7 linked regions of the Rattus norvegicus genome follow. The protein of the gene in region 1 interacts with the protein of each later gene in a pairwise test. Links are inferred from orthologs where the notes say so. Each region holds a gene or a part of one and is shown in the gene's direction. Other genes may lie near its edges. The genes, in order: Efs, Sh2d3c, Abi2, Tssk1b, Ostf1, Trappc6a and Sorbs2.

Evidence for each region.
Region 2: the proteins of Efs (region 1) and Sh2d3c interact in a two-hybrid assay, tested with the Homo sapiens proteins (2 studies listed by BioGRID and IntAct). The two-hybrid records come from large-scale screens. The link is inferred for Rattus norvegicus from reciprocal best matches to the Homo sapiens genes EFS and SH2D3C.
Region 3: the proteins of Efs (region 1) and Abi2 interact in binary tests that used the Homo sapiens proteins (3 or more experiments, as listed by UniProt). The link is inferred for Rattus norvegicus from reciprocal best matches to the Homo sapiens genes EFS and ABI2.
Region 4: the proteins of Efs (region 1) and Tssk1b interact in binary tests that used the Homo sapiens proteins (3 or more experiments, as listed by UniProt). The two-hybrid records come from large-scale screens. The link is inferred for Rattus norvegicus from reciprocal best matches to the Homo sapiens genes EFS and TSSK1B.
Region 5: the proteins of Efs (region 1) and Ostf1 interact in binary tests that used the Homo sapiens proteins (3 or more experiments, as listed by UniProt). The two-hybrid records come from large-scale screens. The link is inferred for Rattus norvegicus from reciprocal best matches to the Homo sapiens genes EFS and OSTF1.
Region 6: the proteins of Efs (region 1) and Trappc6a interact in binary tests that used the Homo sapiens proteins (3 or more experiments, as listed by UniProt). The two-hybrid records come from large-scale screens. The link is inferred for Rattus norvegicus from reciprocal best matches to the Homo sapiens genes EFS and TRAPPC6A.
Region 7: the proteins of Efs (region 1) and Sorbs2 interact in binary tests that used the Homo sapiens proteins (3 or more experiments, as listed by UniProt). The two-hybrid records come from large-scale screens. The link is inferred for Rattus norvegicus from reciprocal best matches to the Homo sapiens genes EFS and SORBS2.

What each region holds. Positions count from the first base shown.
Region 1 is NC_086033.1:32,368,944-32,373,243, reverse strand, and holds the start of Efs (embryonal Fyn-associated substrate), read left to right. Parts: upstream 1-1,500; 5' UTR 1,501-1,859; coding exon 1,860-1,877; intron 1,878-4,300. UniProt on the Homo sapiens protein: Docking protein which plays a central coordinating role for tyrosine-kinase-based signaling related to cell adhesion. May serve as an activator of SRC and a downstream effector. Interacts with the SH3 domain of FYN and with CRK, SRC, and YES.
Region 2 is NC_086021.1:36,442,009-36,444,691, forward strand, and holds the end of Sh2d3c (SH2 domain-containing protein 3C), read left to right. Parts: intron 1-189; coding exon 190-396; intron 397-1,577; coding exon 1,578-1,753; 3' UTR 1,754-2,183; downstream 2,184-2,683. UniProt on the Homo sapiens protein: Acts as an adapter protein that mediates cell signaling pathways involved in cellular functions such as cell adhesion and migration, tissue organization, and the regulation of the immune response.
Region 3 is NC_086027.1:69,394,205-69,397,205, forward strand, and holds part of Abi2 (abl interactor 2), read left to right. Parts: intron 1-1,259; coding exon 1,260-1,435; 3' UTR 1,436-1,784; coding exon of another isoform or gene 1,785-1,927; 3' UTR 1,928-3,001. UniProt on the Homo sapiens protein: Regulator of actin cytoskeleton dynamics underlying cell motility and adhesion. Functions as a component of the WAVE complex, which activates actin nucleating machinery Arp2/3 to drive lamellipodia formation.
Region 4 is NC_086029.1:96,594,716-96,598,040, reverse strand, and holds Tssk1b (testis-specific serine/threonine-protein kinase 1), read left to right. Parts: upstream 1-1,401; 5' UTR 1,402-1,517; coding exon 1,518-2,615; 3' UTR 2,616-2,825; downstream 2,826-3,325. UniProt on the Homo sapiens protein: Testis-specific serine/threonine-protein kinase required during spermatid development. Phosphorylates 'Ser-288' of TSKS. Involved in the late stages of spermatogenesis, during the reconstruction of the cytoplasm.
Region 5 is NC_086019.1:225,473,052-225,476,977, reverse strand, and holds the start of Ostf1 (osteoclast-stimulating factor 1), read left to right. Parts: upstream 1-1,126; 5' UTR 1,127-1,292; coding exon 1,293-1,326; intron 1,327-3,926.
Region 6 is NC_086019.1:88,291,786-88,293,993, forward strand, and holds the end of Trappc6a (trafficking protein particle complex subunit 6A), read left to right. Parts: intron 1-85; coding exon 86-203; intron 204-614; coding exon 615-698; coding exon of another isoform or gene 699-813; coding exon 814-907; coding exon of another isoform or gene 908-1,023; exon of another isoform or gene 1,024-1,439; coding exon 1,440-1,471; 3' UTR 1,472-1,708; downstream 1,709-2,208. UniProt on the Homo sapiens protein: May play a role in vesicular transport during the biogenesis of melanosomes.
Region 7 is NC_086034.1:53,187,984-53,191,483, reverse strand, and holds part of Sorbs2 (sorbin and SH3 domain-containing protein 2), read left to right. Parts: intron 1-1,184; coding exon 1,185-1,385; intron 1,386-3,500. UniProt on the Homo sapiens protein: Adapter protein that plays a role in the assembling of signaling complexes, being a link between ABL kinases and actin cytoskeleton. Can form complex with ABL1 and CBL, thus promoting ubiquitination and degradation of ABL1.

The sequences.
Region 1 (4,300 bases):
GATCTCCCTCTAAGAAGCTCTGATGTACACCTTCTCGAAGTAAAGGCCAGAGAAGAGAGCGACTGTAGAAAGGCTGGCAGGAAGAGTATAGAAAGCAAGGAGCTGGGGTTCAGCTAAAACTCCCGATTCCGGTCCCTCTGAAAGAGTTCTGTCCTCTCTGCCCACGGTCTCTCCTCCAACTGCTCCAGGAGCAGCGAGGGCCAAGCCTTAAAAGAGAGACAGGCCCGGACTGGCAAAGGAGGCGAAAAGGCGGTGCAATCGGCCAGCCTGGGATCTGGAGTTAGACGCTAAGGCTTCTCGCTCTCTCCCAAGGGCCAGAATCTTTGTTCAACACCAGACTCCAAGCCAGTGACCCTCTGGATCTCCCCGGCTCACTCCCGCTGCCCCCTGCAAAGTCAGCGTGGTGAAACCTCCAGGACCCTGGCGCGGCGGAAGCAGCGCGTCCCCTCCCTCGGGAAAGACAGATGTGGGGCTAATGAAAGGGAGGCAGGGAGAGGCGTGGGGCTGGCGGGGGAGAGCGGGGGCGTGGCGGCCAGAGCGGAGCTCTCCAGAGCGCGCAGACCAGACCACCCCGCGGTCTGCCGCGCGGTCCCGAGGAGGAAGGTTCGGGGGAGAGGGGCCGGGCTGGGGCGCGCAGTTTGGCCCTAGGGTGGGGAGCTGAAACTCAACACCGCCTCGGGAAGGATCGTCCCCTTTCTCTGCAGCTTCCCCTTCCCCCTTCCTCCTCCCCCTTCTCTTAATCCCCTGGACTGAGCCCCTCGCGAGAGGAGTGGGCCCGAGGGGAGGGGAAAGAGCTTGCTGCGGGGAGCCGGAGCTCGGGCAGGGGAGGGAAAGGGGCGCCGAGTACAAGGGGTGAGCGGGGGCCACGAGCGACCCCGGACCTTTTCTAACCTTCAGTGTCCCCACCTCGACCCTAGGCAAGCCCATAGAACTGCCCTTCCCCTTCTCTGTTCCCTTTGCTCTGTGGCCTTTTTCTTCGTTCCCCAATACACCTGGAGCTTCCCCAAGCTTTGGGACTCGCCGAGCGCCGGGTCCAGGGTGTGTGAACGGGGACTTCGGTCAGTGGGGTGCCCGGGGCAGAGGGTGGTGCGCGCCCTTGAGCGCTGAGACCCAGAGGTGCCTCGCGGCCACCTCCAAGACCTGGCTGTGCTGAGCAGTGTGGCGGGGAGAGCCCGCCTCGGCGGGGGCCTGGGCAGACGGCCCAGCTCCACCGCCACGCGCTCTTAGGCCTTTGGCTCCGGCCTTTGCGCTGACTTGAGCGAGTTTGGCGACACTCGGTTCAGTTGTCGCTCCTCCTCCTTCCCCGCGGGTCCCGCCGCAGTGCCCCGGCTGCCAGGACCACAGCCCTGGGAGCACAGCTCTGCGCCGCTGGGGGAGGGTTGGCCCCTAGAGTCGCTCGTCCAGCTTAACCACTCAGGCGGCTTCTCCCAGCCCTCGGGGTTAGCCTGAGCTGCCTGGAGAGGCGTCGAAAGCAGCCACAGCTCCTGTCTCTTAGGCTGGGAAGTGAGCTTTACCCCATGTGTGTTCAGGAGGCCTTTGCGACTTGAGGCAGCAGCTGTGGGGGCCTGCAGCCCCGAAAGACCCTGGGGACAGTTTAGAGCGCGCCCCTTGGATGAGGTCCCGCAGCGACGCCCAGGCCCGCCCTACTCCTCCTCCTGCTTGGCCAAGCTGCCTCCTATTTGGAAAGTTTTGTGGGTTTTCTTTCTCTTCCTCCAACTTTGGGGGAGGCATCTCCTCAAGCGCTACAGCTTGGGGTGACCTTCTGGCTTGGAGGCCGGGAACCATGGTGTGGGGCACCCATCGCTGAGGTCAGAGAAACTGAGCCTAGCCTGAAGCAGGCGACCCTGGAGGCCAGAGCCATGGCCATTGCCACGTCGGTGAGTTCACCAGGGAAAGGAGGCTTGCCAGGCTGAGACCTCCAACCTGCTTTACTGTCGCGTTTATTTCTACCCACTCTGATCTCCTCTCCCACAAGCTGTGCCCTCTCTCTTTTGTTCCTTTCTCCGTCTCAGTCCTCGCCCCGTGTGCCTTCTGGTTCTGGGTTGGCCCCTCCTCCTCTCTCTCTAGTTTCTTTCTTTATAGTGGCTGTGGATAAATGGGGGTGGGGGGAGGGCGAGGGCGGAGTGTAACCCCATCCTATCTGCTCTTGCTGGGTGGAAACAGATGCCCACTGGGGGTTGGCAGGGGCTTGTAATTGGGAGGTACGTAAAAGGAGTTTTCTGACAAAGACCAGGAAGCCCAAGGAAAATGGAAGGCCAAGGAAGCCCAACTCTAAAGGATTGGGGGAAATGGAGACACAGGCACGTGAACAGGCAGGGGAAAATAATACAGAGGAGGAGAGATGATATCAGCCTGCCTCGGGTCACTTTCCGGTGACTGGGGACAAAAGACAGGGACAGTTGGCTTGTTGGAATTGTGGGAGGAGGCCTACCAGAAAGTGCAGTGGCACCCTGCCACCCCGAATAAGTCAGCCATTGCCTCACAAGTCAGCTGGGCCCCTAGGAGGAGGTAAAGCAGGAGTGATCACACCCAGTATCCATCATCCTATCAGCAGCTCTGGCCTGGGTTTAGGCAAAGCGCAAAGCATGGCCCCATTGGATAAAATTCAAACCTAATACTGGGAGGGGCTGTACAGCCGCACCTCTACTTTGTCTTGGAGTCTGTACAGCAAATCCATTCCTTCTCAGCTTCCCCAGCCCTTGCTGGGGATTCCCAGGGGAAAGCCAGGTTGCCCCCTGCTTTCCTGGACTCTGGCTATGGGAAGAAAAGTTACAAAAGTCAAAGAAAAGCCCAGAGCCACAGCACACCTTGAGGGTGGATCTGTTTTCCATTCCTTAGACAGAACCTTTTAGTCCTCTGCTGGCAGAACCTTTGGGAGTGCCAAAGCTGCTGCCAGGATCCTGGTGTTACTGCCACTTTTGAAGTCCAGAAGGTATTTGGGTGAGGGGTATTTATGCTAATGAAACTCACAGGATCATAACAATAGTAATAGTTACAGTTTACACACCTGGCCGCTGCACTAAACTTTGTCACAATCTTTTGATGCACTGTCTCACGCAGCTTAAAAGGACGTGTTATTCAACAATTGTAGATAAGGAAACTCTACAGTGGAGAAAACTAGAGTACAGAGATGTTTAAAATCTCCTTAAAGCCATCCAAGCAAGAAAGGGACTCAGCCCCAAGTCCGCCTGCACTTACAACTTTGTCTTTGATCACTGGCTAGATCCAGGATACTAATTTCTAGTTTTCAATCAGAAGGAAAGATGCAGGGGTTGGGGACATGGCTCGGTTGGTAAAGCACTTGCTGCATAAATTAAGGATCTGAGTTTGACCCCCAGCACCCACATAAAGAGCCACGTGCAGTGTACTCACCCAGCAATGGGGGTGAGGGGAGAAACGAGGATTCCAGAGGCTCGTCCAGCTCTGCTAGCTAAGTCAGTGAGCTCAAAGTTGAGAGTCTCTCAAAGGGAAAACAATGGAGCATGAGTAAGGAGGATCTCACCAACAACCACTGGCCTCCCCGTGCACGTGCACACATGTGGAGTACAGAGCCAGCCAGTGATCTGTATTGTCTGTTTAGCATGCTTTCTTCTTGTAGACGTGCTGCTTTTAGACGTCTCGTGATAATCAGAAATGGTGTGACGAAGGCCAGGCATGTAGGGCGACGTTTGCCTGGCTGCAAAGGGACCTGAGTTTGACCCCAGCATCTTTTTTTTCTTTTTAAAGATTTATTCATTTATTATATATAAGTACACTGTAGCTGTCTTCAGACACACCAGAAGAGGGCATCGGATCCCACTACAGATGGTTGTGAGCCACCATGTGGTTGCTGGGAATTGAACTCAGGACCTCTGGAAGAGCAGTTGGTGCTCTTAACCGCTGAGCCATCTCTCCAGCCCCTGACCCCAGCATCTTGAAGAAGGAAGGGAGGAAGGGTAGTTGGTTGCTTAGGAGGAGAAGAAAGGAGCACAAGGGTTGCACAACTTGCTTCCTAGCACAAAACGGTCCCAGAGGAACAGCATCTCTGTGAGTGGAGCTTCTTCCTCCCTTACAGTCCAGCAGCATCCTCCTACAGCTGGACATTCGGTTGGTTATTTGATGACGATGATGCTTTTTATAGTACTAGAGGTTGAACCCGATGTCTCAAAACATCCTAGGCAAGCGTTCTACCACTGAGCTACACTGTCACGTACTCAGATTCCCGGCCTTTCTCTGTCTTTTGTTTTGTTTTGTTTTGTTTTTTGAAGCAAAGTTTTATATAGCCCAACCCTGATCCTTCTGCCTTCAGAAGTGCAGGGAT
Region 2 (2,683 bases), on another chromosome or scaffold:
GAATAATAGCTTGACTTTTTGTCCCATGAGGGGTAGCCATGTATGTCACAAGCAGGGTCGGGTCACCAGGGGAAGAAGGGATGGCCCCAGGTGACCTTGGTGGTCTTCCTGGGGCCTCAGGCATCTCTGTGGTTGTAGTGGGGTAGCAGGGTCCTCAGGTCTAAGAGCCTGCTGCCTCTCTCTCTACAGAAGGCCCGCCATTGAGCAACACCACCTTTCCACACGTGCTGCCCTTCATTACCCTGCTGGAGTGTGACTCCGCCCCCGCCGAGGGCCCTGAACCTTGGGGCAGCACAGAACATGGTGTGGAGGTTGTGCTAGCCCACCTGGAGGCTGCCCGCACTGTGGCACACCACGGGGGCCTCTACCACACCAACGCTGAAGTCAAGCTGCAGGGTGAGTAGCTGTCATGTCCAGAGGACCCTGCCGTCCCAAACCCAGTTTCCCTCCATCTGCCTCTACCTAAGCGTCTTCTGAAGCATCCACTGACGTCTTGCACCCCTCTGTCTCAACTCCTGGCTCCTTTATCCCATCGGTCTTGTCACTGGTAGGCAGTTGTTAGCGATGGCATCAGGTGAGGTGGGCTGAGAGACACTGACCACCTTTGTGCTTCAGCCACCTGCACCTCACTGTTCTCCCGGAAGTGAGCAGCTGTCTTTCCATAGTGCCCAGCATGCAGAAAGGTCGGCCTGGTCTTCAGGGAGCCTGGGTTGGGGAACAGAATTCTGGGAAATGAGCAGAGAAAGCGACTTCACATGATGGCCACTGTGTCAGGCATTATTCAAACCAGGAAAAATCTGGAGGGCTGGGGATGTGGCTTCGTTGGTAGGGTGCTTGGCCAGCAGGCAAAGCCCTGGACTTAATCCCCAGGACTGCATACACCGCATAAACTGGGAGTGTGAGCCTCTGCAGTCCCAGCACTCTGACAGAGTTAGCAAGAGTTCAGTATCATCCCCAGCTGTGTACTGGATTCAAGGCCAGCCAGAATGCAGCCGGTTCTCTGACTTCGAGGCCAGCCTGGTCTACATAGGAAGTTTCAAGTCAGCCAGGGCTATATAGGGAGACTGTCTCAAAAGAAAAAAATATAATAATGGAAAAAAATTCAGAAAATTATTCACTTGCCCAGAGATATATGGTTTGAATAGCTTGGTATTATCTTTTTCATCTTTTTTTTTCCTCAGAAAGAAGAGAATTATATGCACTTTAGAATAGTCTTTCTTTAAGAAAAAGGGAAATTTACGGAGAAATATAAGAAAGACCTTCTGTGATCTCGCCTGAGATTTACAGGAGTATTTTACGTTTTAAGGGCTGAGGGGGTAGGAGAGCAATGAGCCCCTGCCTAGACACACAAAGCTGGGTGTCTCATGTCGGCACCACAAGCACAAGCACAGATTACTGTCTTGTTCCTTAAAAAAATCCTAGGTTGCAGATAGATGAAGAAAGACTAGTGCTGCCTGCAAGGTCTTGTTCCTCAGAACATTGTGTTGGGTCCCTGTGGGGTTAGGGAAAGATCTCTGTGAGCGGGCCCTGTAGGATGTGGAGAGATTCCTAAGCTCGTCTGTCTTCCCACCCTGCAGGGTTCCAGGCCCGACCGGAGCTCCTGGAAGTGTTCAGCACAGAGTTCCAGATGCGTCTCCTCTGGGGCAGCCAGGGTGCCAACAGCAGCCAGGCCTGGCGCTATGAGAAGTTTGACAAAGTCCTCACTGCCTTGTCCCACAAGCTGGAACCTGCCATCCGCTCTAGTGAACTGTGACCCCGGAGATCTTGCCTCTCTGCAGCTGCTGACAGCATCGGGGGCAGAGGGGCTCAGGACATTTCCTCCAGAGCACCACAGGGACACTGTGACCAGCCCAAGAATGTTCTGGGTTCAAATCCAGGATCTCTCTTGCACTTCCAGGGTCTTGAATGGACTCTGAGCTCCACTCTTCCACCACACGTGCACCAAGTCTCCCTTCCAAAGGGACAGGAACCTCTTCTCCTCCCGCCGGCTTTCGGCTTTCGCTGGCTCCCATTTTGCCGAGGTTCCCTGTTTTTGAGCCATGGGAGGCTCCCCACCCCTCTTCCTTCCTCCCGGCATCTATGCCTAGAGGTGCCACGGCCTCTATCTTACTGTAAATAAGCCTGGTGTACATGTATGTACAGAAGCCATGATCTCTTTCATATAATAAACTTTAATGACTCTTTCCTCTGTCCCGTGAGGCCTGGATAGTAGAAAGAAGCACTTTCCTCAGGTGAGTGGTCCAAGACATCAGCAAATACCTGGTTAGTACCAAAGACTTTCCAGATGATACGGGGAACCAGTTTTAGAGCAGACAGGTGCCCCTCCCTTACTGCCATGAGCTCAGGGGAGACTGTCAGTCCAAGACAGCGCAAGTAGGGCCCACACCTTAGTCTTCTCTGAGCCCAGGGTCCGTCCAGAAAAATCATAGTTCCCCACCCCCACCCCATCCACAGGCAAGAAATCCAGAGTTTGGGATAAAAAGGCTTTTAAAAGTCTAGAGTCCTAGAGAGATGGCTCAGTGGCTAAGAGTACTGGCTGCTCGTGCAGAGGACTCAGGGTCAATCCAAGCACTCATATGGTGGTTCATAATCTGTATCTCCAGTGCCAAGGGATCGTATGGCTTCTTCTGACCTCCTTGGGTACTGGGCGCACATGTGTTGTGCGGGCAAAAGAGCCACACAA
Region 3 (3,001 bases), on another chromosome or scaffold:
TGCCTGCCTGCCCCCCTCCCCTCCCCTCCCCTCCCCTCCCCTTCCTTCCTTCCTTCCTTCCTTCCTTCCTTCCTTCCTTCCTTCCTTCCTTCCTTCCTTCCACTGTGGACTGAACCATTAAGCTAAATCTGCAACTCCCAATATCTATATTTTAAAGAGAATAGATCATCCTGAGTTTACTAAAGTTGTCCACTAAATTACTGTGTTGTTACCAATATAAAGATAGTTATTCTGCATTACTTTTGCTTTTTCTTGAAGAAAATACAGATTGACGGGAAACACTAATTCTTAAATTTGTCATATAATTACACTGAATTGTATTTAGGTAGAGAAACACACCCTGACTCTTCTAAATTAGGTTTCTGATATCCTTATTGTATCCCAATAATAGAAGATAATTACGTATGAGAGATGCCACTTTTTTTTTTTTTTTTTTTTTTTTTTTTTTTTTACTAAAGTGGTTCAGAAACATAGGGCTCATGGCTCTGCTGCTGGGTTATATTTCAGCCCTTTAGTTTTAAGACAATTACAGTGTATGCTTAGAAAAAGAGCTGGAATAGTTCTCAATTAAAATGCTGGAGTTTGGAACAAAGTCTTAAGTCTTAGGTGAATGTGAGTTAAGTTATGAGTTACCTGATTTTATTAAAATTCTTGAGGGTAGATGTGATGTTAGGAACCAGAGATTATCAAAGGTTCAGAGGCCTATTTAAACCAATAAAAATTACAAAAGAATTTAACCAGGTGTCTTGGTTCTTTTAACTTTATTATGGATGTATTGAGTTGGTAACATAATGCAGTATATGTTTTGAAAGTATATGTATAGTGGATTAGCTTGTAGGAATTCAGTCTTCACTGATAGGCAGAGTCCAAAAAAGGAGCAATGCTGTTTTTTAGTCTGTCTGACTTCTCAGTTGTATCACAGCGTATCTCATAACAATAGTGTTTAAGTACGAGCATTTGTTTACACAGTATGGTGCCTCAGTGTAAGTTGAAACGAATTACTGTCTTTCATGTTCCTTAGAATGCTTTTTCTCTGGAGTTAACTAAAGATGACTTTCTTTTTTTTACTTGATTGCCATTTATATTGGATTTAGAACCTTTTTTTAAAGGAAAGGACATTCAATTGTGTTAAACTAGTTATTGGATAGAAAACATGTACAAATGTTCATCTCTAGGAAGTTGCTGTGTATGAACGCGTAGTGGCTTTACCTTTCTAGAAATGGCATTGTTGCTCACTTCCTATTTTGTTTCTCCCCTAGTCGTGGCAATCTATGATTATACGAAAGACAAGGAGGATGAGCTGTCCTTTCAGGAAGGAGCCATTATCTATGTCATCAAGAAGAACGATGATGGTTGGTATGAGGGAGTTATGAATGGAGTGACTGGGCTCTTCCCTGGGAATTACGTTGAGTCCATCATGCATTATTCGGAGTAAAGCCCAGCACAGCCGTGCTTCTTGTTCAGGTCAGGTATTCCCAGATTAGCTAGAGGCCCTGGGAATTCCCTCCCAGGAAATAGATGAAGCATACAAATGATAAAGTTACTCTTTTTATTACTGTTTTGGTTTATCCCCTAGTATCAAAACCTGAAAGCCAAGTCTGAACAAGTGGAACTTCTTGGGTCATTTGCATTATGCTATCTAGATTGAAAATGCCATTTCTCAGTCACGAAAGGCATACCAACATGAACATATAGCTAAAATATATAGGACCAAGACTAACTTGAGAAAAAAATCTGGGATCTTCTCAGGAATACTGTACACCCTTGGATTTCTCTTCCTGCAGAATCTGTGACATTGGATGCTCATTGCCTCTGCTTTGGGGCTAACCTCATGGCCTGGTGGACACCCTTGCCCTTTACTTTCAGTATATGGAGAGGAAGGAACCAGTGTTTAAATACTTTATTTAACTACTTTTGGATTGCTTAAAAAGGCTGTTTTTCTTCTTTAACACTGTAAATCCTGTGTTCTCTTAGCACTGGAGTGCTAGGTGAGTTAATCCCGAACTCCCTTGCATCCTGTCCTGTTTGTAGATTATAAGGATGACAAAATGTGAGTCTCCAAACATTCCCAGGGTTGTTACCAGTTTGATTTTAATGCACTGTTGCATGAGACTGCATTGCTGATAGCAGCCAGTAAAACCGATGTGAAATGTGGTAGGTACTTCAAGTACTGAGGTGAGCTTGCTGGACACAAAGGTTCCTAAGGAGCTCCAGCCTTGAGGCACTGTTTCAGAGTAGAGCCTAGGAAATCAGACCAGCTATTACTGTTCTTTTGATATTTAAACACCCCCCCCCCCCCACCTCTTTTAAGAAGAGACTAGTTGTCAAGTCTCTGACAGTCACTGGACTGGGAATGAAAGGCTGCTACTGTGCTCTTGGACCATTATCAATGGCAGTGTTAGCTGATGCCAAGCCATTTTTCTTCTCTCAGCTATAGAAAAATAAGTATCCTCCTGATTTGAAGTGATTAGACTTTAAAGTAGCACTCCTCGTAATAGTCTGAACCTTGTGAGTCAGAGTAAAGAGTTTACTGGAAAAGACTAATAGGATAAAATACTTACCCAGTCACACTGATGAAAACCAGTCTGTATTTGAAACAATTGGCATCCCCTCATCTACTGAAAAGGAAGAGGAAGCAAAGCTGTTGTGATTCAGATGCAGGCCTTGCACATTCTGTCTAGCGATGCTAGAAGAACAAGTGTTGTAGATGCGAAGAAAGGCAGGCTGTAAGGCAGCAGCTAATACTCCACTCGTAGATCTGTTATCTGAGCCTGAGGCTTCACTGTGCAACTCAGACCCAAACAGTGTCCTTCTCAAGACCCTTTTTGCTTTAAGGTTGTAGGTTTTGTTTGTTTCAGACACGGTGCTCTTCTGCTTAGCCTCTCAAATATTAGGACTACAAGGAGGAACCCTACACCAGGAGCAGGATTTTTTGGTTTTAATACCACGTTGCATGCACATCAGCTATTACACTTTTAGACTTTTTTCTAAATGCTTTGGA
Region 4 (3,325 bases), on another chromosome or scaffold:
TGGTAGGGTCACCGGGACTGACAGTGTTGGCGCCAGGGCTGGGGTGGGTAGGAGTGGAGATCGGGGATTAGAGAATCAAAGAAGTATAGCTGGACTTGAATGATCTTTATTCCTGGAAGCCCAGGTCTGTCCCAGTGCCAACACATTCCCTAAAGTGGTCTTCTAAACGCGGAACCGCTGTGAAGACAGTGAAGAGCTCTAGTGAAAATAAAGGACCAGCAGGCTCTGTGGATGGGAAAGAATACAACACAAAGAATACAACAGAGGAGGAAATGGTTTAAGGGATGTCAGAATAACAAGAGAAGCCCATAGTCTCTGGACCCGATCTAGGGAAGGAGCTGCCTATACAATGAAGATAAAAGCCCAGGCAGAGACCAGACTAAAGCCTGGGAACAAGGCTCCTCGTGTTAAACTCACACCTGCCTTCATGAACAGCATGTACCTGGAAGGACAGACAGCAAATGAAGGACCAATCTGTTCAGGGGAAGGAAGTGAAAAGGGGGTAAGGTCAGTCAGCTCCAGCATACCTAACTCACTATTGCCCCTCCACCAAAGGCCCAGGATTCCAACCAATGATAGAACCGTGGAACTGTGCGAGTGAAAGATGCTAACTCTTATAGGTGGATAAAGCCAAGGTCGAACCATCAGATATTCCAACTTTCCCAGGTCTTGGCCCAAGGCGTTGGATATAGGTCTTGTCACAACAGAAAGGGAGCTCCTTGCTGACAGCAGCAGAGGTACCTGTCCAGTACTACCTTGGCACTTGGAGAGTTTTATGACACGTTCCCGGCACTCAGTACAAGATCCAGGCTTAGCCTTCTGCCCCCATACCCACCACCACTGCAATCTGCCCTGGGAGCTCACTCAGAGCTAGGAGTTGGGCAGGTCCTTTGGAGGGAACTCAGCCAAATGCAGACTTCCTGCCAACTGTCCACCTGCAGAGCCACCGTTAAGAGTCCAGGAAAGGTTAGGAAGAGAAAAGAGCAGGACAGGAAGTAAGAAGTCTGGCCGAACGGTACGGTGAAAGCACAGTGTTAACTCCCTAACCCACCAACCACCACCACCACCACCACCACCACCCCTGGGCCAGGAGATAAAGAACTCGAAGGATCTTCACAGCTGTAGGTCAGGTCTGTCTCAGGGCCCCAAAAATTTAAAAGTGGTCTTTTAAAAGATGAACCCCCTTACCTCAGGCCAGAGCCAAGCATAAACCATTTTGTTCACTTTTAGTCTGCTCCAGTAGAGTGGCAGACCTTCCAGGTTCGAAGTCAAAGCACCCCAGGCAATAGCTGCATTTCCCCCTGGGCATTACTCCTTTGTGACTTCACCCACTGAAGTCACCCGGGAGACGGCGCTGAAAGTTCCATGTTAGAGTCTTGGGCCTCTTAGGAGGCAGGGACAGCAGGCCTGGCCAGCTCAGAGGACTCTCTGTCCACAGTATAAATGAAAACACTGCTGGCCCATGTCTGGCAGGGATGTAGAGGGCAGCCTCAGAGGCACTGGGCACTCCCGGCACCATGGATGACGCAGCCGTCCTCAAGCGACGAGGCTACATCATGGGGATAAACTTAGGAGAGGGCTCGTATGCCAAAGTCAAATCCGCTTACTCTGAGCGCCTAAAGTTCAACGTGGCGGTCAAGATCATCGACCGCAAGAAAGCCCCCACGGACTTCCTGGAGAAATTCCTTCCCCGGGAGATTGAGATTCTGGCCATGCTAAACCACCGCTCTATTGTCAAGACCTATGAGATCTTTGAGACGTCAGATGGCAAGGTCTACATTGTCATGGAGCTTGGGGTCCAGGGTGACCTCCTTGAATTCATCAAAACCAGAGGAGCCCTGCAAGAGGATGATGCTCGAAAGAAGTTCCACCAGCTCTCCTCGGCCATCAAGTACTGCCACGACCTGGATGTCGTCCACCGAGACCTCAAGTGTGAGAACCTTCTGCTTGACAAGGACTTCAACATCAAACTGTCTGACTTTGGCTTCTCCAAGCGCTGCTTGCGGGATGATAGTGGTCGGCTGACATTAAGCAAGACCTTCTGTGGGTCAGCAGCTTATGCGGCCCCCGAGGTGCTGCAGGGCATCCCCTACCAGCCCAAGGTGTATGACATCTGGAGCCTGGGTGTGATCCTCTACATCATGGTCTGTGGCTCCATGCCCTACGATGACTCCAACATCAAAAAGATGCTGCGCATCCAGAAGGAGCACCGCGTCAACTTCCCACGCTCCAAACACCTGACTGGTGAGTGCAAGGACCTCATCTACCGAATGTTGCAGCCAGATGTCAACCGGAGGCTGCACATTGATGAGATCCTCAGCCACTGCTGGGTGCAGCCCAAGACTCGAGGTCTGTCCTCTGGAGCCATCAACAAGGAAGGGGAAAGCTCCCGGGCCGCTGAGCCCTCATGGACCCCTGAACCTGGTGCTGATAAGAAGTCTGCCACCAAGTTGGAGCCTAAGGAAGAGGCACGAGCTGAGGCCCAATCTGAGACAAAACCCCAGGAAGATAATGTGCAGGTGGCCAGGCAGTCAGAGAACGTGGGCCTCAGCAGCGAACTGAACAGGGCCACAGAGGAAGGGCATCCCCAACAGCCTTCAGAGACACATACTTAGTGAGCCTCTTGCAGCCCAGGGGGCCAGCAGGGAAGGAGGCAGAGCTCATGGCTTGAAGCCTGAGCCTAGAAGTCAAGGGACGAGAGAGAGAAGGAAGACACTCCCGGATGAGCTATTTTCGTCACTTTCTTCTCCCCCTCCTTTGAACTTGGTAACTCACATGGCTAAAGAAGCAATAAACCACTATATGGGTGCACACCCTCAGGTGAATGTCTTTACCCAGATCACTGTAGTCCTGGGCTCCCCTTGTCTTCCTGTGAGACTGCAAATCGTCACTCATAGGGAAGTCCATTCCTGCGCCCCAAGCCCAGACTGTGTCCTTAGGCCGAGGTGAGGCAGTTGTACCAGTGAAAGGCTGGTTGGGGGAGGGGGGGCATTTGGAGGAGCAGAGCCCACGGAAGATAAGAAGAAGATAACTTCCAGAGGGAGGCTGAGGAGTGCAAAGAAGGGTGGAGAGAAGACAATGGGAGGCTAGCCCAAGGATGAACATGACTGCCTGTAGAAGAAGGAGGGCTGGAAGCCAAAGCCCTGTCTTGCACCAGGAGAGCTGGCTTCCTGCATCAGGGGCTCAGGGTCAGGCAGGTGTTTTAACACTATCCCAGGGCTGCAGGCTGCATGACCATGCCTGAGGGCTGGGGAGAGTACAGAAGGCATACTGACCAGCCCTATAGTCCCTCTTGGGACTTGCTTAGCAGTCCAGCCTAGGACAC
Region 5 (3,926 bases), on another chromosome or scaffold:
ATGTGCAGGTCTTAGGTCTACTTGTGGGAGTTCTCTTTCCATCATGTGGGTGCTAGAGATTGAACTCTGGTCAACAGGTTTGGCAGCAAGGGCAGTTGGACCATGGTGCTGCTGACCCTGTAGTTTCTTACATAACCGATGTTTTCACTTTTATTTCCCCTAATACAATAGGCGTATAAGACTGCAACACTATGAGTTTACTTATGTGTGAGCATAAACTCTGAGGAGAGGAGCTGTTAGGTTAGGATTGGGCAACTTGTGTGAAGTAACAGTCAGTAGCATAGTTTTGGCTTTGTGGGCAACTATTCAACAATGAAGCTGTTAATGAGAAAGAGGCCACAGTCAATGCATATGCAAACGAGCATGGTGCGTCTATGGAAATCTAAGTTGCCCCTAACTGTCATGTGCCACACACCACAAAATACTATGCTTTTGTCTTAGCTGTTTAAAAACCGCCAAAAGCATTCTTAGAAGCCTTTACAAAGACAGGTAGCAAGTGGGTTGGAGTTTTTTTTTTTTTTTTTTTTTTTTTGGTTCTTTTTTTTCCGGAGCTGGGGACCGAACCCAGGGCCTTGCGCTTCCTAGGTAAGCGCTCTACCACTGAGCTAAATCCCCAGCCCCTGGGTTGGAGTTTGTTAACCAGATGCTGCAGAAAAGACTGTCCTGTCCCCGTGGGGGATCAAGACCCGATTCTCCTGCCAGCAAGTGTGAGGTCTCCTACACTTAGCGGTGGCTAATTGCTTTTTAGGAACGTGAATCCCAACGCGGTTTCCCTTGCGGCAGTCAGGTTCCAGGTACAGCGCAGGAGACTCTGGAAGGTTCCCAGGCCTCGGCGTGTGTACGCAGCGAGCAGTGAGTACTCACCAAAGCGGGTTCGAATCCTCCCCAGCAGGGCCGCAGAGCAGGCTGCAAGACGGTTTCAAGCACACAACTGCCGGTTGCTCACCTGAGCAGCACAGCCCACTGTGGGCTTTCATAACCTCCCCTAAGCAGGGCCTGGGGCGTGGCTACCGCAAGGCTCCTCCCCCAAGAGGAGGGCGTGGCTCCGGCGCTCCGCGGCAGGCTGGACCTCCGAGGCGCAGAGGACTCCCTGCCGTAGCCAATCAGCAGCCGGCGAGGCGCGGCCACTTCCTGGTGGGAAGGCTGGGCTGTCTGCGGAGCTCGCTAGTCCCGGTGTCCCGCTTCGGGTTGCGCGCGGGTCCGGAGCGGGCGCGGCTAGCGCAGGCTTGGCTCCCAGTTCCTGTCTGCGTGTGGGGCTCCCGCGGCTGAGCCTGGCCGCTCCGAGTAGCGCCATGTCCAAGCCACCTCCCAAACCGGTCAAACCAGGTAAGAGTTCTGCGCGCTGCGGGTACGGGTCTCCAGGCTGCGGGACCCCGTGCCGGAGTTCCCGAGGAGCGCCCTCGGACTCTGTATGCACTGCTCGCCAGGACGTTCTGGCGGTGTGGTGGCAGCACCTAGGTCGCGGCCACTTCCTCATATTTCGGCGTGTCGCTGTCAAGTTGGAGTTCTTGACCGGCTGGCGAACGGGAAGTGCGCTACGGCTGGGTGGGGTTTGCACCCTCCAGCTGCGGGGCTCGGACTGGAGCGGAACGGGGACCCGAGGTTTCCAGAGAGCTTTGGAGAGCTACACTGGCACTGCCAACCGGACAGCTGGGCTGCAACCCTCTCGGCTCCTAGCTTTAGGACGTAACGCTCTGTCTTGCATGCAAGTGTTTTGCTTAGGGTGACTCGGGCGAACTAAACTGGAGAGAGTACGAAGTTCCTCAAAACAGTTTTCTTGGCCACTCTTCCTGGTTCGCTTTTTTAAAACGTCGTTCTTAGAGTAGTTTCTGTGATGTGGAGAAACGAGAGCATTTTAAGGGACTGTTATATGTCAGCTTGACAAAATAAACTCGTGGGAACTTTCATTTGGATAGGGAACTAACAGGAATCGTAGAAAATAGGAGATGAATGATTGACGAATTCCCAGCCCTCTTTTTTCCAGTCTCCTGCAGCTTTGGTATTACAAAGGCTGAAACTTGAGCCATATACTATCAACCTTTATAGCCGCTTATGCTGCTTCAGTGATTTTTTTTCCTTGAGTTTTTTTTTTATTAAAGTGACAGTCACTTAAACTTCAATAATTATCCAGTTTTCTTCTTTTGTAGCAGCATCAACTCCTGAATCTGAAAATAATGCACACACATTTGCGAAATAGGCATTCTCTGTCGACATAAATTCTTCAGGGCCGCATATGAAGGAAGTGGCTCAGTCTGGCTTTGGCCTGAGCCGAGGCTGGGTGGTGCTGGTTGAGGCTGCCTTCTATGTGAAATCTGAGAAGTTTGCAATTTGCAATTTAGATGCGGATGTATGAGGTGGCAGTTTTGTAAACTCATATGTAAGTCAGGACCTCAAGTGTCCAACTAAGCTGAGTTCTTTGATGGCTAAACAAAGCACTTGATTTTGAAGAATGTGTTAGACAATCAGGCCGTGAGGTTTTTTCATTCCTCCAGACACATTAAAAGTGAAGTCAGTGTTGGGTCTGTGGGTGCTGGCAGGAGTCTGCCTTTGTGTACGTGATTGTGAGCTTGTGTGTTCATGCACCTTTGGGTGTGGTTTAGGACTCAGCCTGTTACGAAGTGGAGATTGGCTCTGGAAACTAGTTTTGTTGTTTACATATCTGCCCTTTCCTCTCCAGCAAACCAGAAAACACATGGCTAAACATTTGTACTATTTAGAGAGAACTCTGACTTCACTGGGATTTATAAGTGAGGCCCAAACATACATAAATAGGGTTGCCATGAAAATCACTTTATTTACCTAGTAACAGAAAGAGAGAAATATTAGTGTTAGTCGAACTTAAAGCAATGTGCTGGCTTACTGGAAAACAGAAACCTTTATTTTCATACTGTCCCACATGTAAACCTTTATTTTCATACTGCCCCACATGTACTGGGTGCTAGGCACTGGTCTAGTCATCCATACATGTTTGAACTCATTCCCTTCTCAGTAACCCTACCAGGTCAGCACCATTTTTATTCCCATTGTCTAGCGGGGGGGAAGTAAGGCACAGCAGGTTAACTCATCTCCTAACAGCAGTGGGGTGGTGATGTATGAATCGTCGAGGAGTACAACACACACGCTTGATTCCAGGATTTGTGCTTTGCCCCTGTGTGAAGAGCCCTGAATATTTTACAACTGGATAGGACTCTGAAAGAACCAGGTTTCTGACCCCAGCCGGACTCTTATGCACAGCCGTGCTGAATCCCCACTGCAGGTGTACTGTGCTTTCTTTCCTGCTACTCTAGGCAAGACATGGGGATGAAGGTCTCCAAAGAAGCCCGACATCCACGAGAACGTATTTAAGTTTTAATTTTTCATCTATTGCTTTGTTTATACTCTCTCCAAATGTCTCTTCTCCAAAATAATGCTAAACATTCAAATTATCAAACAGAGTTGGGGAAGAGAGGAAAGAAAAAGGCTTGGGGCAGAGAGGGAAGAATAATAAGTAAGCGAGAAGAGAAGTAAGCTGGTAGGCATGCACGCCATAGACTCCTGTAAAGTTACCAAAAAGAGCGGTCACGTGATTCTCAGCCTCATGCAGACAGATGAAAGACCAACCATAAGGCCTGTAGTGCTCAGGAAATTAACATGTGTTCTTTATTCTGGGAAATAGTTACTTTAATGGCACTGAGATCTGGGACAAGAGTTCCCAGAGATTCTCTTCCTGTGTTGGACAGGGTTTCCGTAGTAGCAGAGTAAGACAACATGGCTTCTAATTTAATGGGCAGCACTGGAAAGACAGGAGCCAGATGAAGGGACAGCGAGGGTCAGAGGACTTACTGTAAGAGCCTAGAGGCAGGTCTTACTTATCTTTTTTTTTCTGCTGCAATTTAAATGATTCAGGATTTCTTTTGGCGCACAGTTCATGAGTATAGCCTACTACA
Region 6 (2,208 bases), on another chromosome or scaffold:
TGCTGATAAGACGGAGGGTGGGGAAGGTTTCATGGGCCCACACATGTACCATATGGGCCAGACTTCATTCCACATCCTCATCCAGGCTGCCCCGGGAGACGCTGGCCGTTAGGGAGGAGCTAGATGCCCTCAAGTTCCTGTGCAAAGATCTGTGGGCGGCCATGTTCCAAAAGCATATGGACGGACTCCGCACCAACCACCAGGTGGGTGTGCGAGCCCAGCTCCAGCCTGGCTTCTGGGTGATACCTAGACTGGTATCACTGTCTACCCCTGCTCCTTGGAGCCCTAAGGGAAGCCAGGACTGCAGTGAGTGGCAGGGCTATTTCTTCAACTTCAACCTGCCCCTCAGGAGTGATCCCTGCAGTGGCCTCAGCATGACGGTTCTTGTCCCAGGCAAGTCCCAGTAGTCCCCTTTGAATACCCACGCTGTGCTCATTCCCTGCCACCACATCAAGGGCCAGAGAGTCAGCTTCTCCCAGCCCCCCTGCCAGGCAGGACTCCTTCCTAATGCCACATGGCCACAGGGTGTCCCACCTGTCTCGGAAGGATTGGCTGCTGGGTTTGTGGGTTCCCTGCTGCTAATACCCAGTCCCCACATTCTTTTCTGTTGACAGGGGACCTATGTGCTGCAGGACAACAGCTTCCCCCTCCTCATCCCCATGGGCTCGGGGCCACAGTACCTAGAGGAAGCCCCCAAGGTATTGGGAGAAACAGGATATGACCATCTGCCCACCCCGCTAGGCCTCTCCTGGGGCTGGGGCCTGGCCTCTCCTCTTCCCACACACAGTGTTCTGTCCCCCACCCCCACCCCAGTTCCTGGCCTTCACCTGCGGCCTCCTGTGCGGCGCCCTCCATACTCTGGGCTTCCAGAGCCTGGTCACTGCCTCCGTGGCGTCCCTGCCCGCCTGTAAGTCACTGGGGGTCGGGTGTTTGCTTCCCTTAAACGTGGTGCAGGCTTTGGGGCATCCCCATCTTTGGTCCCTCATCAGTGCTGGGAAGGGGAACCAGATTAACAAACTGTGACATGAAATTTGAGGCCCAGAAACAGGTAACAGGAACGGAACCACATACCCAGCTGCGTCCCTGGGTGCTTCTAAGAGAAGAAACTGGCACAGGACCCAGTGGGACATGTCCTACCCTGGCCAGGTTCCTGATGCTCGGAACAGTGGACTCACCACCCATCTGCCATTATCTTGACACCCCTCGCCCTGACAGCTGTCACCCCTCTATGAGGACCTGGGTTCAATGAGCAGGACATGTCAGGAGCTCAGGCTAGCCCTCCTGCCTCTGGGCTCCCCTATGGTCTGGAATTCGGGCCAGTTGGGTGGGACGGTACCCCTGTGACCCGCTCACTGCCAGGGCCCCCCAGGCTGTTGGTGCAGAGTCGGGTGAGCTGCTAGCCCCCTCACGGGCTTCCTGTCTTGGCCCTTCTGTTCCAGGTAAGTTCCAGGTGGTGATCCAGAAGTCCTGAGGACCCCAGGTTTGCCCTGCTCTAACCTCAGCCTCAGAATGTGGCATCTGGCCCTGCCTCACTGCTCACCTTTGGAGGCACTCACAGGCTCTGGGGAGGTCACATGTGCTTCCGCCAAGGAAAGGACTAGGAGGGTCCCGGGAGGTGGGACCCATGAGTTCAGAGTGGGTATGGAGGGACGTTAGGGCATCTCCCAGACATGTTCAATAAAGAAAGGTTCTTTATGAGGAAACAGACCTGTGTAGTGCTTATCACACGTCCCTCCCCACCCACACCCACCCTGTGAGCTCTAGGCACACCTGGCCTAGCTCTCTGGCTTTGCCAGCCAACAAGTCTGGGGCTGCCCCCGGCCCAGCAGGTCACACCCGCCACCTCGTTCTGATTGTATTTGTAGCATCCGGGGCTGCCCTTGGGCTTAAGCCTGCATTCTGCTGCCCACTGCTGCATGGGTAAGCACCAGGCCCAGGGACTACAAATGGAGGTGGCTGAGAAGTAACAAGGGCTGCTGGCTCTTCTGTTAATTTAATTGTGTGCGCTTGTGCTCAAGCGCATGTGCACTGAATCCAGTCCTCTGCAAGAACAGTTAGTGCTGTTAACTACTGAGCCTTCCTTCCAATCCGCCACCCCTAAGACAAGACCTCTCAGGGTGGGACAGGTGTGTCAGAAGTTAAGAGTGTTTGCTGCCCTTGCTGAGGACCCAAGTTCGCATCCCATCACCCACACAGTGGCTCACAACC
Region 7 (3,500 bases), on another chromosome or scaffold:
TTCCATCCCTAGTTCTGCATCATTGGCAATTCTCTCTTCCCTTCCTTGTGCACCACTTACCCAGAATGCCACACAGCATTGCACAGTGTACCATCCATCTTCTGTCCCATGCTTTAAAGATTGGTCATTGTATGAGATAACCCCAGAAAGCCTAACTCCCAACTGCCTGTTCTGGGCGCATGAGAAAATCCGTGCTATTTGGGGAGACTCCCTATGCTTCAGTATGTTCTGCTCTGTGGTGATGAGGCACTTTAACAAACCATCCGGCACTTTGAGTTAAAGAGAACCTTCAAGGCACTGGCACTGGAAGGGGCTCCCTGCTGTGCTGAATCTGATCAGTAGATGTCACCACCGTGACTATCAGATCCTGTCCCCCACAGTTTATAGCTCCTTCTAGCTGCACCTGCTGGGTTTGCCCTTTAACATCAGCTTGCTGATTTGGTTCTGGCCCACATATGGCTTTTAGTAAGGAGTCAAATTATGTTATCTAACTTTGGCCTGCTCGCTGAAGGAAGCATAATAGTGATCATAGAGATGTCTACTATTGCAAAAGCTGAGGATTCTACTCAAATGCTTAGTGGGCAGAATGAAGGGGTGCTGGTGTTAAACCTGATCAGACCCAGAGGGACACGAGCCCTCTCCACAGCGAGGGATGTTCGAGAGTGGCATCTTTGCCTCATCCTTTTCATTCGCTCTGTCACATCTCAGGACATGCAGATTGCAGAAGGAAGACAGCATGCCATCCACCATTGTGCCTTCCAGAAGATGGCGTCTGTGACCCATTTCAGACACCATTTCTTCTTTGTGCGTGTCCTCACAATGATTCTAGTAGAGACTCGATGAGGTCCTGCCATTGATACGGCACCTTTCATACCATTTGCCTTTTGAAATAACTTCCACAAGTCATTTTACTCTGAACCAGCATGAAACATGCATAAGCCCATTCCCATGATCCTTAGGGCTCTAACGTCATGAATGGAAGGTTAGCCTAGATCTTTGCTGACAACCTATGCTTTTCTAATGAACACTGGGACCTTGCTCACATTCTTCTGACCAGGCAAAAGCTACAGGCATAAAACTTTTCCAAATAGAAAACTACCGTCTTACTAGAAGGCAGTGGCAGTTGCATTTTTTAACATCATTGTATCTCTACTTATAATGCATTTCCCCAATGCTCATTCCAGGGTGACAGGATTATTCTTCTCAAAAGAGTTGATCAAAACTGGTATGAAGGTAAAATCCCAGGAACCAACAGACAAGGCATCTTCCCTGTCTCCTACGTAGAAGTTGTCAAGAGGAACACGAAAGGTTCTGAGGATTACCCCGACCCTCCTCTACCCCACAGCTACTCCAGTGATAGAATTTACAGCCTAAGCTCCAATAAGGTAAGAAGCCATTCCATCATGTTACCTCTGTGCTTGGGGTCTCAATGTGATGCTCGTAAGCGATTTGGGGGATATCAGACCATCATATCTACTGAAAAGAAACAAATTCATGTATTCATATACTTGAGCTGCAGGTTAGAAAATATAAAGTTAATTTTCCTCAAGTAGATGCGGGTATGAAAAGTTAAATGTTCATTTCTGTTAATTCCATTTTCAAGTTAAAGAGAGAAAGCATTAGTATCATCAACCTTCCTTGATACATCTCTGTATTTCCATGTATATAAATTACACACATACAGATTTATGCATATATAGAATATATAATCATTATATAATTACTAAGTATATAACATTCTATGAAAATCTTAAGGTATTTTCTTCATAGACAGCCTAAGGCATTATATTTAATTTAGGACCTTTAATTCCATTATTAGTTTAAATATAATAATTAGAAGTACCCAATTTTTTTTTATTATTTTGGAAGCCACAAATTCCACTGTTTCTCCTAAGCTGGTAGCTTAACTTAGGTAGCTAAGCTGAAAATGATTATTTTTCTCAATACAATCTAGAAAGGACTTTCCCTCCTGAATTGGTCCATCAGATCAAGCCTATCCTCAAACTTCCTTTGTCCCCAAAATTTCTCCCTCACTTTTCTGTTGAATTGGCAGATATCTTATGGATGTATGTAGGGGTTTCTTTCTCCTTTTAAAATACGAAATTAAAGACTATACTTTCAGGGATCATTTCTATAGTTCGTAAAATACGAAATTATTATTTTAAAATACGAAAATGTAAAGCACCAGTGAAATTATTTCCAAAATATTGTCAAATGCCTCCCAACAATAAAAGTGATGTATTTGGTTGTATGTTATGTTAATTGTTGAGCTCGGGGCAAGGATGTGGAATATGAAGTCAAAGTTATTTTCAGACAGCGTCCCTAGAAGCCCAAACCACCTCCATCTAAGTAAATAACCTAGGAATCCATCTCAATTGAGATATTTTCCTTTAAAAAGACTAAGGTTTGGCATCTTACTAATTCTAGTCCTCTTCAAAAAAGCTAGATTTTAGTCATGGGCAGTTATCATGCATTCTCTCTCACCGGATAACTGAGCACTCTGCCCCAGTTTGATTATGAAGTTTCCAGAATTTAACATTTAAAAGTCGATATCCTTCCTTCAGTAGTTTCTGTTGAGAATGGAAAAGAATCTTCATCCATCCATATAAGTTTTACCTACCATCCATTTATCTTAAGAGAACTCATAGATGACCCTCACATGACCGAACCTTTAAATGAATGGATGCAGAAGAGAAAAGTTTGTATCTATAAATGCTTACATACTAAAGGGCTTCTCCCATGTGGTCTAATTAACAATGGCAAGCTAATATTTTAAATCAGGGTTTTTGTCATTTTCCTGAATATGTTTTAAATGGCATTCATGGTTTGTATTACAATACTGCATTTTACATAGAAGGATGTACAAATACCACATTTTAATAGAGGAATGTACAAGGTTCACCAGTAATCAATTATCTTGTTCTTACTGCTGAAAAAAAAATCTTTATGTCCATAATTTGAAAGAAATTCTAGTTTCATTTCAACTGGCAGCTATCCTGTGATGCCATTGGCTTAATGAAAGAAGAAATTCCTGTAGTGTTGTGCTAGTCAATTTCAGGGAAAAAAATATGTATTTTTAAACAATGAGAAATACAAAAGCAGAAAAAAAGATAGACATCCTATTTTCTTATTGATATTTACAAATAGAGAAAAGAATGCATTAATAATTCTTGAATCATTCTTTGGCAAATTCAAATCACATAGCTTGATGTATTTCTATTTTGAAAAAGACTCAAATAAAATTAGTATTATTTCTTATTTTCTACAACAGAATCTAATTCTAATTTTTTTAATATGAAATAACTTTAACTTTGTACTATAAGTAAGTTTTGTGATATAGGTACTCCTTAATCAAAATTAACATTTAATTTTAGTATTGTCAAGTGTCATTTAATTTTAGTATTATCAAGTCTCTTTTAAAGTTTTTGCTCTTTGGCCCTTTAACAAGAATAGAGGTGACATGGGGACAGTAACAGTGAAGTCAGCAGTAGATACTATGG